Coturnix japonica: one gene and its partners. The protein of the gene in region 3 purifies or fractionates together with the protein of the main gene of each other region. This does not show direct contact. Links are inferred from orthologs where the notes say so. Each region holds a gene or a part of one and is shown on either strand. Other genes may lie near its edges.

Region 1 (4,992 bases), on a different chromosome or scaffold from region 3:
GCAAAGCGCACAATTTTCACCTGGATAATGATGTGAATTTGTGACATTCCCTTTATCAGCTGAGGCATTTCGACCCAGAACAGAGCACAATGCCTCTCTGTAAATGGTGGCTTGAGCTGAAGTGGATGTCCCTGAGCACTGATGTGGGGTGTTCCTGGAAAAACAGGAGCTGTGCTGTGGGTGGACTATGTTGGAGGTCGAAGCACACCGCACTGCCTTCAGGACAGAAATTACTCACCATGCCTCTCAACAAACCAACCTGCCCACCTCCCAGCTGCCCTTCACCCTCCCACGTTCCCCATTCCATCTTCCCTCCAGTGCTGCCATCTCTCACCTCACCCTGTGAATTTCTGACACTGATAACCACCTTTTAGAAACTCTGCCCACACTCCTGGGACGGCTGCATGCTCAGACAAACCCATCTGGGAGCACCAACACAGGAGCAGGGCAACCAGCTACTCCCTGTGCTGCCACTCGTTAACAAGCCACCCTGTCCTGCACTGCTGTCCCCCTTCTATGCCACTGTGCACTGCAGATCAAGAAGTCTTTGTTGCAGAGCACCACAGCACTGCATGGCACACACAGCTCCTGCAGGTCCCACAGCTACTCCCGGCACCTCCACACCACTCACCCAGACGGGCTCTGGTCCTGGGTCCCTGCATCTGGCTCCGGAGCTCAGGACGGAGATGGAATTTCTTTGCTTCATCGACGAGGTCTCTGCACTGCAGACTGCATCGGATGAACGGCTGCAGAAAGACAGCAGTCACTGATACCAGTGGTCTGTGCTAAGATCCCCCCAGAGATGCCATGGGACTGTTCTCATACAGCTCATCTCTCGTGGCACTGCAGATTACAGGATAAAATACCCTACACTGGAAAACTGAGGAAAATAGGATTCTGCTACATGTTAGCCAGTGGAAACCCAATTGAGGAGGGAGCAAAGGCTGAGTGGGCCTGGCTGGGTCTGCCCCACAGCGTCAGCTCAATATGTGACTGCCAGAGACACAGCATGGAGCAAAGCCCAAACTGCGCTGCTCTGTATGGAACACCCTGCTATGGGCGGAACTCAGAACAGGGAAGTCTCCTCCAGAAGCAGCTGTGGGCACAGCAGCCCTAAGCATTGCCTCATGTCCTCCTTGTTCCCCAGCTGGGCCTGGGCCAACCCCCCGCTGCAGCTCCACATCCAGTTCCCTGTGGGTGTTCAATACCATGTGCTGCTGCACCACACCAAGGCCGAATTCACAGTGCCCTGCTGCCAAACCTTGCACTGGATCAGCATTGATTGTTTGAAATTAAAACTTCCATTGCAAAAGCTTAAAGATCTCATCATCCACATCTTGGTTTGCTTCTACCCATACCTCGGTGTCGATAACGTCTGTGATGTAGCGCGGGGTGAGGAGCGGCATTCGCACATACTGCAGCAGCTCCGGCAGCGACGCCTCCCGGTCCTTCTTTGAGTGCTTCACCCAGTTTATAACAGCCTCAAATACAGGTTCTTCTGAGTCCACCTGCAGGAAGAGGGACACACTGCTCAGACAGGAGAGCAGCAGCCTGTGGCTAAACGGACAGCTCTGTGCCCAGCAGCAGCTGGAGAGCACAGATGGGAGTCTGCTGTGGGTGAGAAACCAGGCAGCAGCATCACAGCCAGGGCTGCACTGACAGGAGCCCAGCAGGCAGTGTGGGAGCAGGTTCTGCCCCTCTGCCCCGCTCTTTGGGCTCCTTGAGCATGAGGACATGGAGGGCCCAGAGCCCACAGTGACACTCAGAGGACAAAGCACCTCCTGCAGGGATGGGCTGAGGGGCTGTGCTCCTTCCACGTGGGGAAGGGCAACCTCACAGCAGCCTTTCAATAATTAAAGAGAGCTCATCAAAAAAGATGAGGAGAGACCTTTTTATTGGGCCTGCAGGTGATAGTTTTAAATTAAAAGAGAGCGGGTTTAGATTAGGTGTAATTGCAGTGAAATTCTTCACCACAAGAGAGGTGAGGCAGCAAAACACACAGTCTGGAGGAGCAGGGGATGCTCCATCCCCATCAGTGCTGCTGGGCAGGTGGTGTAGGAGGTGGAAGGGATTGGGGGACGATCCCTTCCAACACAAAGCATTCCCAGCCCTGGGATCCCTGGCTGCCCAGAAGCTCTCACCACAACCCACCCAGATCAAACCTCAGCACTAAGGACACTGCTGTGATCACCCAGCGCCCTCAGCCCTCCCCTGCTCTGAGCACCACCTGCATGCAGCCCTCACTGCCGCCCTGCGTGCTCCTTTCCAAGGTTTGTTAATGACATCAGCTTGGCCAAAGGCCACTTCTGCTGCAGCCTTTCAAAGCACACATCCACATCTCTCCTCTGGTCACCCCTTCGAGGGGCTCTGAGGAACTCAGGAGGTACCAATGACACAACCTGCTCCAAGGAGCTCACACTGCTGTGAGCTCTGAGTAACGACTCCATCACTTCTTTTAGGGCTGAAGCAAACACCATCTCTTGTTGAAGTCCAGCTTAACAACACAGAACTGCCCCCTTCCTATTCTCAGGCAATATTCACCTTATTTCAGTTCCCAACTAAATACACACTCAGAGAAAACTTGGGTAAAAAACCAAACAGGATCAGACGGTTCCCAGCCATGCAGTAACACCTCCAGAATCCAGCTCTGAGTGAACACAGTCCGTACCAAAATTCAGAGGCAGAAACACCTTCATGTAACCGCCTGAAGCAGTGTCTAGCAGCCCCGCTCTGCACCCTGTGCAAGCAGAAGGGCTGCATGCTGGGAACGACACATGCACTGCTCGTGCTGCTGAGTAACACCACAACGGTCTGCAAACAAGTTAAAGTCCTGTGGGCGTTTCTGCAACGTGGGCACCGAGACAACGCATGGCTGCAACCTCCTCCGGGGAGAGGGGGAGGAGAGGGAACATGGAGGTAGTGATGTGCAGCCCCGAGACAACACGCTCAGACACACAGCCTGCACATCACCCATTGGTTTGAGGTTATGGGGCCAAAGGAATGAGGAGAACCTTCCTGGAAAGCGAACTCCCAGCTGGGGAAGGATGGGTGAGTCCCTCCTGAGCACTACGGGCTGGTTTCCAACAGCTTTCAATGCTTTACGTCCAATGCTTTGCAGAGTAATGGTACGTTCAGGTTTTACCTGAATTTCATCACACTTGATGAGCTTTTCAACCTCTTCTTGATTTAAGAGGATAAACTCTTCATGCTGAACCACCTCTGGAAAATGTTTCTGGCTGAAGACCTCTGCAGCTTGCATTAGATCAACACAATTGTGTGTCTCAGCAAAATCCCGAATGCCCAAACAATTTGATGGATCCAGCTGGCTTTCTAGAAACTCACAGCAAGCTTGTTTCACACCTATGGAAAATCGGAGGGGTGAATGAGCACTGAACACATCCTGTCAGCCCTCTGCTCGGGAAAGGGCTTCAGTACAGGGAAGTTGGAAACAATAAGGACAGACTGACTGAACAGCAGTGGAATAACACCACTCAAGCACACACATGCAATGTCTCTTCCGAGGGGCACAGTAATGCTGAGCAGCAGGACGGCTGCTTGTGCTGTTTGTGCCTGCTGTGTTTAACCCCCTCCTCCCCCAGGTTAAATCTGACACTGGTAACTGTGAGCTGCACTGACTTTGCAGCTCCTAAAGCAGAAGTGGATGTGCCATGGGATTGCCCAGCTGTGAGCAGCCACGCTAACCTGGCAATGCCAAACGACACCAGGGCTTTGCTTATTACTGTCAGCTCCCCCCCCCCAGGCACTGCCACGCAGACATGAAGTAGCACAAAGCACGGATAAAAGAATCCATCCCGTGTCTCTTTTTCTAGATGGGGCAGCTCTGCTACACCAAGATCAGCGTGCAAAGGACAAGAGGAGTTTGACACAAGGTGTTATGGCTCCAAGGCCCAGACTGAGCACAGCACAGAGGCACTGCTGTCATGGGTGGACACAGCAAACCTCTGCTGAGCAGCAGCCGTGCAGTGTGCACCAACACCCAGCATTACCTTTCAGCTGCAGCAGACATGCTGCTGGGAGCAGCTCCTGGACGTTCTCTACCGTCACATGAACAGTTTCTGTGTACACAAAATCCAGCAGGATTTCCATGGTGGAAGCTGTCAGCCCCTGGATGTCCACGTAGGGTTTGTCTTTCTCTGAGAGCTGTAAATCATAAAGGAAACAGAGTTTATTTTCCACTAATCTGGTCAAAAAGACACCAGTGCTCAGCAGAGCCTCAGAGCAAAGCAGAGTTTGTTACGTGTGTGGAAGAGGTTCCAAGTGCACTGCAAAATGCACACACTGAGCCCTGAGCATGTTGTTCATATGAGGTGCCTGCCTGCACCATGCAGGGACCCTGAGCTGTGCAGAAGGAGCAGTTCCAGGGCAGTGTGTGTGGGGCCATGTGTGGCATACAGTGCCCTCACTGCTCTGCTCTACACCCAGCTCTCCCCAGCCCACACCCAAAGCTTTCATCACCGTTCCACCCATCCACCCTACGAGCTCATGGTGAAAGTCCCTACTAAGAATGACCATCTGCAGCCCAGGAAATTCAGAGTTAAACCGGAGCTGAACTTCAATATTAGAAAGTAAAATCAGCGTATGCAACGATGGCATTTAAGCAGTGCTGACTTCATCCCTGTGCTGTTTTGTCAGCTCTGTGATGTGTCATTTTGGAACAATTACTTTCTCTGAAGCCCACCACCCTCTGAGCCAACCTGTGGGATCAGTGCACTGCGTGAGAACCCTCCATGTGCAGAGCTGACACCCTCACCAAGCAGCAGCTGCAGGAACAGCACCTGGGGGGCAGCACCCCATGGGAGCTCATCAGCACAGGTGGACCCCGACAGGAGGCCGTCTCCATGCAGCGCAGTGCAAAACCAACCTCTTTGGAAGCAGCAGCGCATATCAGTGCAAGCACGGCTCAGATGAAAGCCCCTCACTTTTCTTGCCAAGAATGAGACTGAAGCTGGTTGTGGGCACACTCAGCGAGGA
Region 2 (5,530 bases), on a different chromosome or scaffold from region 3:
TGGGAACTACAAAAGGCCCATTCCTGCAGTCCAGGCTGCAGCAGAGGGGGCAAAGGCAAAGCTTTATTTCTCTCTGAGCTCCTCCTTTTTAACACACAGAGTTTGAAGAGATGTGAATGGGGAAGTGCCACAGCTAAAATTCCACAGAAATTCCAGCTCTGGGGAAAAAAAAAATAATCCTACGTTTCTCAAATATTTCTGTGCCTCGTTCTACTCTTGCACAGCAGTTTTATACAGAAATGTGACTTATCCAAATCCTGCAGAGCACTTATGCTTAATTCTCCGCTCTTGTCTGAAGAGGGCAGGGAACTGGGCATTGAACCCACATTCCCTTTCACACCAAGCCTTCAAGAGATGAAGATTTTTAAGATAAAACGGCTGCAGGCAGAGTGTATGTGCCAGTCCACATTAGTGAGCACAAGCCTAAAAAGCAACTCCAGACCCTTTGAAACTTTACTGCTTTACAATTAGTTCAATGCAAAAATGGCAAGACAGCAGTTACTAGAGCTATAACCAAGGGAGTACAGCTAAGGCTCCTTTGTCATCCAAATTGTCACTCAAATTCCAGGAAGAAAATGCTGACCCCAGCGTGGTGCTGGAAAGCAGCGTTCCTTTATTTCCTTTATTCCTCACCACACTTACCAGGTGACTTAACAAACACGGGTGACCTAACAAACACGTGTGCTCTCTCAGAGTTCAGGTTCAGCATTTAAGCAGTTAAGACATACATTTCATTTTTCCAAGAACGCGTTAATTTATGTTAATGCTCCTTTGTGTGTGCACAGTTGCATTTAGTGGTCGCACGCCCACTTACTTTATCCCCATTTTTCCACCCTTAGCTTCATCACAGACACTTCTGGCTGACCTGTAGCTGTTCTTCCCTAACCTGCAAACCCCTATTGCTTGTTAGGCCAGAACGAGCAACTTCCAAAACAGTTCTGTGACAATTTGAGGCACACGTCCTTGCCCCGGTGAAACGCAAAGACAAGGAGTCTGTTATTCCTGTGAAGCACAATTAAGAGAAAACGAGGCTGTTCACTCACCAAGCAAACTGAAAGTTTTAGAACTAGCACTCAATGATTCCTTTGGCTAAACTTGTACACTGGCCCTTAAACTAATATATGGGATTCCTATTGCTAAGGCAGTCAGCCTACAGCACCTTCTCAGCCTGAACCCTGAAGGGGCGAGTGGCTTATTCGGATTTTGCTCTTCATTAATACTAGTGTAGCACCAGGAGCAGAAAAGCATTGCCGAGGTGATTGCCTGTCTCATGCTTCCCCTTTCACGATGCTTATCCTCCTTGCCTTCTCCCAAGCTATGAAATTACTTTCCAACCTTCTATTTTGTAACCCTTTATTCCCTTCCTCATTAGACCTCAAAGTTTTGCTGCTTTCTCCCATCCCCAGAAAACAGTCGTGTTCTTTTGGCTGAACCCAGAGCTGTAGCTCTCAAGTCTTTTTGAACACTGTGTACTTCCACGCTGCCATTCTGGTTGTAATTCGATTCAGTTACAGACTGGTCAGGCACAAGAGCCTTTCTGAGCCAGAGTGCAGGCTCATCTCTCTCCTAGATACACGCAGACCTCCAGCCAACCTTCCAAGAAGGACTAAGACACTGCAAACTAAACTTCACCTCTGCCAAGGTCATTTCCCTCGGCAAAAGTCACTTTCTCAAGGGCAGCAGGAGCTGCAGCCATGAAAAGCTACTGGCGTTTTTAGTCAGTGAGCAGAGGGGCTGTGTCCGTCAGCACAAAGCAGGAAAGGAGCTGCAGCTTTACATCAGCTTGTAGTTTTTCAGTCTTTGCACTGGATGGGATCCTGAGGCAGGAGGACACTGTCCCATTCCTACACCCTCACCTCAGACATCAAAACATCCTTCAACACAACGACGAAAAGGAAAATAAGAGCAGTGAGACCAACAGACACTGCCCAGGGCTCGGGCCTCTCAGCAGCGCTGGTTCAGGCTGAGCAGCACCTGCCTTTTTACTGCCCGTTACAGAGCGACCGCGGCGGGACAGCGGGACACGGCGGGACAGCGGGACACGGCGGGACAGACAGGTGGACACGACACAGCTCCGCTCCGCTCCTGCCGCGTCCCCCCCGCCCCGCTCTGCCATTACAGCGGCCCGTCCTCTCCTCCCCTCCCCTCCTCGCGTCCTCCCCCGTCCCGCCCCGCCGGGGCCTTCAATGCCGGCGCTGTTTCCGGGGCGACCGGCCGCGCCTGCCCCGAAGTGTCGGAGCCCCGTCGGTCCCGAGGGCCCGAAGCGGAGCAGCCCGCAGGGAGCCTCGCTGGCTGCCGGCTGCGGGTAACGCTGCGGAGCTCCGCGGGGCGTTGGGCAGCGGGGCGGGCAGCCGCCAGGGGCCTCAGCGCGGGCGGGAGCGCGGCGTGGCCATGGAGGAGCCCGAGACGGAGCCGCCGCTGACGGTCAGGGCCGGACCGCCCGTCCCCGTCCCTTCCTTTCCCTTCCCTTTCCTTACCTTCGCCCCCCGCTCTCCTCTCCCTTCCCGCAGGTGGTGCCGGGCGCCGACCCGGCCCGAGCTCAGCTGTGCTTCGAGTGGGGCCCCGCCGAGATGCTGCTGTGCGAGACGCTGTTCGGCCGGGGCGGCAGCGCGGGGCCGGGGCCGGCGGGATGCGGCGCTGCGGGCGGCGGGGACGGAGCGGCGGGTCCGTCGCGCGTGTTCGTGGTGCGCAGGGATCAGGACATCTACATGGAGACGCTGCGGAAGCTTTTCAACGAGTCCCACGGCATCTTCGTGGGGCTGCAGCGCTGCGAGGAGGAGCGGGCTGCCAGGGCGAGGAACGCGCAGTGAGTGGGGCCGGAACAGCCTCCTTTTGGGTGCTGAACAGTGCGTGGGACCCTGCACAGCACGGGCAGCACCCACCAGGCTGACCCTGGTTCTGGAAGCATCCACGGATGCACAGAAAAGGGACCGTAACCGAAGCAGTATCTCTCTGTAAACGATCCTTTTTGTGTTTGGCAGATTAGTCCAAGTGAGTAAAAACTACCGCTCGGTCATAAGAGCCTGCATGGAGGACATGCACCAGGCTGCCAGTAAGTCTGTTGCACTGCAGTAAAAAGATGCTACTTGTGATGATAAAAATAAGATTTCTCTTGGAAGTTGCTATAGCTACTGAAAAACAGCCCATATAAACTTCAGTAATTAACAGGATTCCATCTTCCATCATTGAGATTTCCATGTTGGTTCATCATCTCGTAACTGATTTTGGGAAGACTTGCAGTATTTTCATGTCATGACTTGTGGTTTTGTGGAAAAATGAGTCAAATTCACCAGCTTGCTCCTCTGAAACAGTGAGAGGACTCACTGTGTCTTAACATCCTTGTCCTGTAAATATACCAGATTTATAAAGAGTTCTGCAGGGTGAGCTGAGCTGTATCAGCTGTGCACACATCTGGGGCTGTACCCAGCGAGCGATCAAGGACTGTATGAATGAGCTCAGAAAGTTTTGTTGTACCTGTAAATATGCTGCTTTTTATGCTGCTTTTTGACTTGGTGTATTTTTCGCTCAGTTTCAGCCCGGGACTCTGCCCTGCACAACCAGTACAGCATTCAGGTAACGTACAGTCACATCCACGTAGTTGCATGAATATTGGTTAGTAAAGCCACAAAGACCAACACCGTGGCTGTAGTTTGTTGTTTGAACAGCACTGATGTTGCTTAGTTTGCCTTTAGTTCCTTCTGTGCTCTCTAACTCTCAGGAGATTAAAAAGGCTTCAATTAACACTTTCTGCACTGTTCTGCATTTCCCTGAGGAGCGATTACTGTTGCATTTCAATACACAAACCACCGATATTTTCTAAAATGGATGTGTATAGAGAAGTTATGGCCTGTTTCTGTCTTTTGATTATCTCTGGAATATCAATGTGACATTTCTCTTGTCTACAAAAACCCATCTCTGTGGGCAGCACATTCAGCTGTGCACTTAAAATTAAATAACAGGAACAATTATGACCCTGAAACGCAGCTCTGCTTTTTGTCAGGTTTCTATTCTCTCTGCCATGGAGCTGATCTGGAATCTGTGTGAGATTCTGTTTGTTGAAGCAGCGCCAGGTGAGCAGTGAACAGTTCTGATGTTAAGCCTGAAAGTGGTCTTGTTTGCGTAATAATCGTTTAAAATGTAGACAGCGTGCGTGGTGCTACATCTTAATGCTTACTGTGGAGTGTATGACAAGCAGCACCGAATTCTGATACCTTTTCTGCCTCAGTAAATTGCATTTTTTTGTATTAAATTATATCAGGATGCATTCTACTTTACACTGGCTTATTTATTTATTTCTCACAGAAGCATAATAAACAAAAACTTGTTCCCAGTTTATTTGACCTTAAAGCATAAGAACCTTCTTAAATTAACTGCCTGGGGACAAACAGTTTGGGAACTAACAGTGATACCTTCTCTGTGTAAAGCTGGTCCTCTCCTGCTTCGTCTCCTTGACTGGGTTCAGCTTCACATCTGTGATGTAGACAACATGGTCCGTGAAGTTCTGAGCAGCGAAAATCCATCAAAACACAAACTCTTCTGGAACGTGGTGAGTACAGCCCCCTGTCAGACGTTTAGATGAAGTCGTGCCTGTGTGTCTCGCATTCCTCTTCTCAGCACTGTAGCACATCTCAGAAACTGATACCTGAGATGCTGCTTCTGTCTTTGTAGTTTTAAGATAAAGCATTGTCAAGGTCATAGAATCACTCAGGTTGGAAAAGACCCGAAGGGTCATCAAGTCCAACTACAGCCTAACCATGCTACCCTACCTACCCAACAGCCCTCCGCTAAATCATGTCCCCGAGCACCACATCCAAATGGCTTTTAAACACATCCAGGGACAGTGACTCAACCACCATCCAATTTCATGATTCACAGAGGTTGTATATTCAAATTAGCAGGGCCTAGAGTTGAAATCTTGTAACTCTACTTGGCTTTCTTGAAGATTCTCCTGATATTCCACCTGGGTGCGTGGTAGCCCTGCACAGCTTGGTACTCACAGACGTGCTTTCTGCAGGTGGATATCTTCGTACTGCAAGGCCGAATGGATGAAGCACGGCACTTGCTCTCCAAGGAAGCCACTGCAAATCCCGCATCGATGAACATGTACAAAATCCTGGATGACTTGATGAAGAAGATGCCTGTGCCCAGTGTATGTCCAAAGCAGATCGGTTTTTTCCACTGTTTTTTTTTTTTTCCTTTAGTTCCATTAAGAAAGGAGATAAGAGTGAAAACAGAACTAGTCCAGTCTGTTTCACCTCTGCTGCGGCTCCTGTAACATCACAGGCCGTTGACCATTAAAACATGTGTCTTAATCCTTTACAGTAAAAAATACTTGTCTCAGTTACCCAAGAGACCCAAGTACACAGCTGAAAATCTGTTAGGTGGTAAAGAAACATAATCAGAAGTGATGTTTTTGTAGCAAGATTCATTGCTGGGTTACCTGAAACTGATCCTCTTGAGAACTTACAGGGAAGTCTTAGAAGATCTTACCTGCAGGTTTTCTTCTGTTGCAGTGATCTCCTCGTGGAGG
Region 3 (4,114 bases):
GGAATTGCAGAGGAAAACTGGCGAAAGCTTGGAAGGGCTCTGAAACTTCACCAGGTTATCTCTGTCACTTCACCAAACTGCTGCTTTCTGAAGCACCCTATATAGAGAGTGGGGTATTTGTTCTGTGCTGTGATATTTCTGGGAATGCAGTCTGACGTGCGTTTAGATTCCTTGGAAACATGGTGTGCTTGTAAGATAAGAGCTGACAAAAACGTGAAAACCGCATACATCTGTTGCTGAGTTCCTGTCTACGCATAATGAAGTTGTGCAGGGAATCGTGTGTTTCTTGTTTTATTTTTCTGCTGTGGCATTAACATCATTCCTTCTAAAAACTAGTGCCTGTAATGGCTATTTTTTTGAAAGTCCTGAGCCCTTCCACTGTTATCTGGTGTGCTGTAACAGAAAAGAAGTGGAACTGTATTCCTGGCCTACAGTAACAGCCGTGTCTCGTGTTTGCCCCTAAGTGTGCTTCCTCTTGTCTACGTTCTCTCCTGGGTTCTGTTCTATCAAATTTTGTTCTTTGCTGAAGGACTGAAAACAAAGATGTGTCCTAGAAACATCATTTCTGTTACTTTGAAAATGAAATAATGCACCTTGAAGATGTCAGTGAATAGTTGCAGCGATGTCTGGGGCTCTAGAAAGCATCCTGTGAGGATATTCTTCAAACCCTCAGGAACAGAAGGAACGAAGTGGGAACATACAGTAAAGGATGACAAATTTACACCTGTTACTTGTGTTCTAGCTAGACTTGAATGATGCGGCTGATCTGTGGGATTTCTTCTGTGCTACAGCTCACAAATCTTCAGTGGTAGGATTGAGGGTCGTAGGGCAGCTGAGAACAAATGCCCTCTGCAACAGAGCTATGTTAAGAAGTTCTGGTAGAATTAGATCACCATCTTGACTTTTGTCTGAGAGCCTGCTGGTAGAGAACACCAAGGAGCACAAAGAAAGTAGGCAGTGGATAATAATAAGAACCACTGGAGAGCTTCTGGGTCCTAACAGAAGTCCCCTGCATTGTCATGGTATACTGTGGACTCTGGCTAGACTTGGCACTTATTAGCCCTTACGAAGCTAAATACCATACATGAGAGCCACACTAAGGCATCTGTCAAGGTAGACTACAGAAAACCCCAATAAGGCCCCCTGTGAAAGATTTCCAAATACAGCACACCAGACTTTAACCAATAAGACTTTATTTTATTGTCTAAACAAAAACCTGAGGTACAGTATAGAATTGTGGCTAAAAAAAAAAAGTCTTCAAATTGTATTTTCATTTGTTGATGTTCTTTAAATAAACAAGTTTGAGATTAGCGTAAAGCAAAATAGATATGCATTCTGCTACTCTTTTTCATCTTTGGGAATGCACTGAGATTTTCATGTATCTGAGCATATTACTTTCAGGGAAACCCACACACCATTTCAGTACTACCAGAACACTGGCTACTGCTGACTCCACCAGCCTGCTCCATCACTTGAAGTAGTTTTGGCCTTTGAGTGGCCAGATGGGTTACACAGATGGTTTCACACACGAGCACTTTCATTGCCTGCCTCCTCCTGTTCCTGCTCAAGTGCTTGAAGTGTATCCAATTAAATCTAACTCCTAAACTAGAAGGCAGGTTACAGTTTTTACTGTGTTAGGGAGTAGCACAAGGCACAATACTTTGCTCCTCTCTTCATCTTTAATTTAAGGGAATGTCAAGTAAGGCTGATTTTCTACACAATGTAGCCCCCCAGTATTGTTTAAGATTGCTCATAGAATTGGCTAATTATTTCCCATGTTCACGTCCAGCTTGGATAAAACCAGTTCTCATCTGATTCAAGAAACATTGCAAATCAGGTATAGCCATCACTTCCAGCAGCTGGACTGGTCAGTCCTCATCACTGCTCATTCTGCTGCCCTTCTGTAATGGCAGACACTCCTCCTTGGCCCTTGTTGACATCGCTGATGCATGCCCACAACCCATCTACTGACTCCTTCCACAGCGTGACCTCAAAAACAGAGCAGGAAAAGATGTTAAGTCTTACACATTCTCAGTTTCTCATTTTCTTTGTAATGATTGCATCACTAAGATGGTAATGGTCTATAAGTATAGCAGTGTGTCAGAGTTCTTTCAAGCATCAAATTATTTATTGCTGTTTGCTAAATCATTATCCAGCAATAAAGGGAGTAAGAATTAATTCCAATGGTAATATCCTTACAAAATAAAATTAAGCCTACATTTCCAATCAGGACTAAGAATGCAGTGCATGTAGTTTGCCAGAGGTTGGAGTCTTCCTCCCCTTTAGGTAAATAAATAAATAACCACAAAAAAACACCACTGCATCAAAGGGAAGTCTTTAAAAGTCTTAACTCAAAACAACAAAAGTGAAAATATGACATGCAAGAGCAAACTGAGGCTGCAGTACTCACTTTATTGTCTCCTCCAGACACTGCGAGTATATTTGCAGTAATGGACCAACTCACATGCCAAACAACATCATTGAACTTGTGCAGCAATTTTGGTGACCATGAATTTCCAGAGGCATCATCACACGTCCAGATAAACACTCTGCCATCCTATAACAACAAACAGAATTGGCTACCATGAGTTAGTAATACAAAAACCAAGCTTGTCTGCATTGCCAATGATGACTGCACTTACACAGGCATGAACTCTAAATGTGTCTATTTGCATATTCACTGTACATGACGGTCTTTTTCCTTTCTATAGCCAAAAGCAAGGCGTAAGTACAGCTCACTCCTACCTAAGTCTCACCTGTGAACAGCTAGCAATAGTACTTGTTGGCAAGCCTATGGATGGAGCCCAGGCTACATCTCGGACCCAGTCACTGTGTGCCTCCAGCTTCTGCTCTTCTTTCCACTGACCATCTTCTTCTCTGAAAACATATTTACACAGATAAGATTAAGCAGATCTCACACGAATTGCTATGAGAGTTTCTAAGACATTAAGTTGTTTCTATTTTTAAAGTGCTTTTCTAAAATAGTAAAAGATAGTTAAAGATGAAAGCATATAGATGCCTGAAGTATAATTCAAGGTGCTAATACAGACATTCAGAAACCATAAAGAATGAAGTTCTTAAGCCTGGTAAGAGAGCACTTACTTCCAGATCTTGACAAGGTTGTCACAACCACCAGATGCAAATCTTTTGATATAGTTTGGTTTCTGACCAGACGGTTGCTCTATGAGGCTGCCTGGTACAACAGCAGGAGCCCAGCTAACTGCATTACATCCGATCTATGCAAGGAAAAAATAAGGTCATTACTAAAAGCTGTGGAGGGAGCAAAGGACATCTATGCTGGATGGATAAGAACTCCAAACATTGTTCTATTCTTGACTGGACATTTATTCAGGAAGTGTTATGTAGCCAAGTAACTGTCTTACAGGCAAATATCATTTTGGAAATGTATACAGTGGAGATAGATTAAAAAAAAAAAAAGCAGAGGTGCAAGATGTATGCTGTTGCTAAGAGTGAGGAATGCAGAAAGAATCTGTGTGCCCACAGCTCCGTTTTCTTTTAATGCAAGCCACCATCATTATCTGCTTAGATGGCTGTCAAGTTTTGTTTAAACAAGAAGTCCCACTGCTGTGGGAAAACCACGAGTTTTTCCCTGCAGTTTTTCCAGCTTCTTGTTGAAGTTTACTCACAGCCAGGTTGTACGAGGTATTCTGAGTATCAAAGCCATTTCCCACTATGTCACTTCCAGCACTGTGTTTAACAGTCATGATCAGATGTACTATCAGTGCTCTTTAATGGCTTTCACCTCTTATTTTCTACTTCACTTCACTTACTATAAAACATACTTTCTTACTTTAGATTTATTTAAAACAAGTTATTTTTCGGTTTTGGAGAACAATTCACAATATTTAATTGTATTTCAGTATTTATTTAGTCTGCACACTCTGAAGCATCAGCTCAATCCTCATCCATGGCTCCAACTTACAGTGTGTGCGTTGCTGATCTTTTTCACCTCCCACTGCCCATCACCAGTGTAGCTCAGTAATGAAATGGCGCCATCAGAGCTCCCACAGGCCAAGATCAGTCCATAGTCATGTGGTGCCCAGCAGACAGAATTCACTGTGAGGGATGAGACAGACTGGGTTACAACACAGTG

The links. Proteins that work in one complex are often made in the same cells at the same time.
Region 1: the proteins of SEC13 (region 3) and KLHL12 purify together in Homo sapiens (affinity purification with mass spectrometry; 3 studies listed by BioGRID and IntAct, with this or other methods). This does not show direct contact. The link is inferred for Coturnix japonica from reciprocal best matches to the Homo sapiens genes SEC13 and KLHL12.
Region 2: the proteins of SEC13 (region 3) and NUP85 purify together in Homo sapiens (affinity purification with mass spectrometry; 5 studies listed by BioGRID and IntAct, counting the BioPlex papers as one, with this or other methods). This does not show direct contact. The link is inferred for Coturnix japonica from reciprocal best matches to the Homo sapiens genes SEC13 and NUP85.

What each region holds. Positions count from the first base shown.
Region 1 is NC_029541.1:898,937-903,928, reverse strand, and holds part of KLHL12 (kelch-like protein 12), read right to left. Parts: intron 4,162-4,992; coding exon 4,008-4,161; intron 3,361-4,007; coding exon 3,143-3,360; intron 1,509-3,142; coding exon 1,359-1,508; intron 747-1,358; coding exon 632-746; intron 1-631. UniProt on the Homo sapiens protein: Substrate-specific adapter of a BCR (BTB-CUL3-RBX1) E3 ubiquitin ligase complex that acts as a negative regulator of Wnt signaling pathway and ER-Golgi transport.
Region 2 is NC_029533.1:9,353,862-9,359,391, forward strand, and holds the start of NUP85 (nuclear pore complex protein Nup85), read left to right. Parts: upstream 1-2,292; 5' UTR 2,293-2,391; coding exon 2,392-2,424; intron 2,425-2,510; coding exon 2,511-2,806; intron 2,807-2,981; coding exon 2,982-3,052; intron 3,053-3,529; coding exon 3,530-3,573; intron 3,574-4,000; coding exon 4,001-4,070; intron 4,071-4,264; exon of another isoform or gene 4,265-4,424; coding exon 4,425-4,546; exon of another isoform or gene 4,547-5,014; coding exon 5,015-5,149; exon of another isoform or gene 5,150-5,530. UniProt on the Homo sapiens protein: Essential component of the nuclear pore complex (NPC) that seems to be required for NPC assembly and maintenance. As part of the NPC Nup107-160 subcomplex plays a role in RNA export and in tethering NUP96/Nup98 and NUP153 to the nucleus.
Region 3 is NC_029527.1:16,778,745-16,782,858, forward strand, and holds the end of SEC13 (protein SEC13 homolog), read right to left. Parts: intron 4,078-4,114; coding exon 3,944-4,077; intron 3,237-3,943; coding exon 3,103-3,236; intron 2,878-3,102; coding exon 2,757-2,877; intron 2,558-2,756; coding exon 2,411-2,557; intron 1,990-2,410; coding exon 1,879-1,989; 3' UTR 1,177-1,878; downstream 1-1,176. UniProt on the Homo sapiens protein: Functions as a component of the nuclear pore complex (NPC) and the COPII coat. At the endoplasmic reticulum, SEC13 is involved in the biogenesis of COPII-coated vesicles.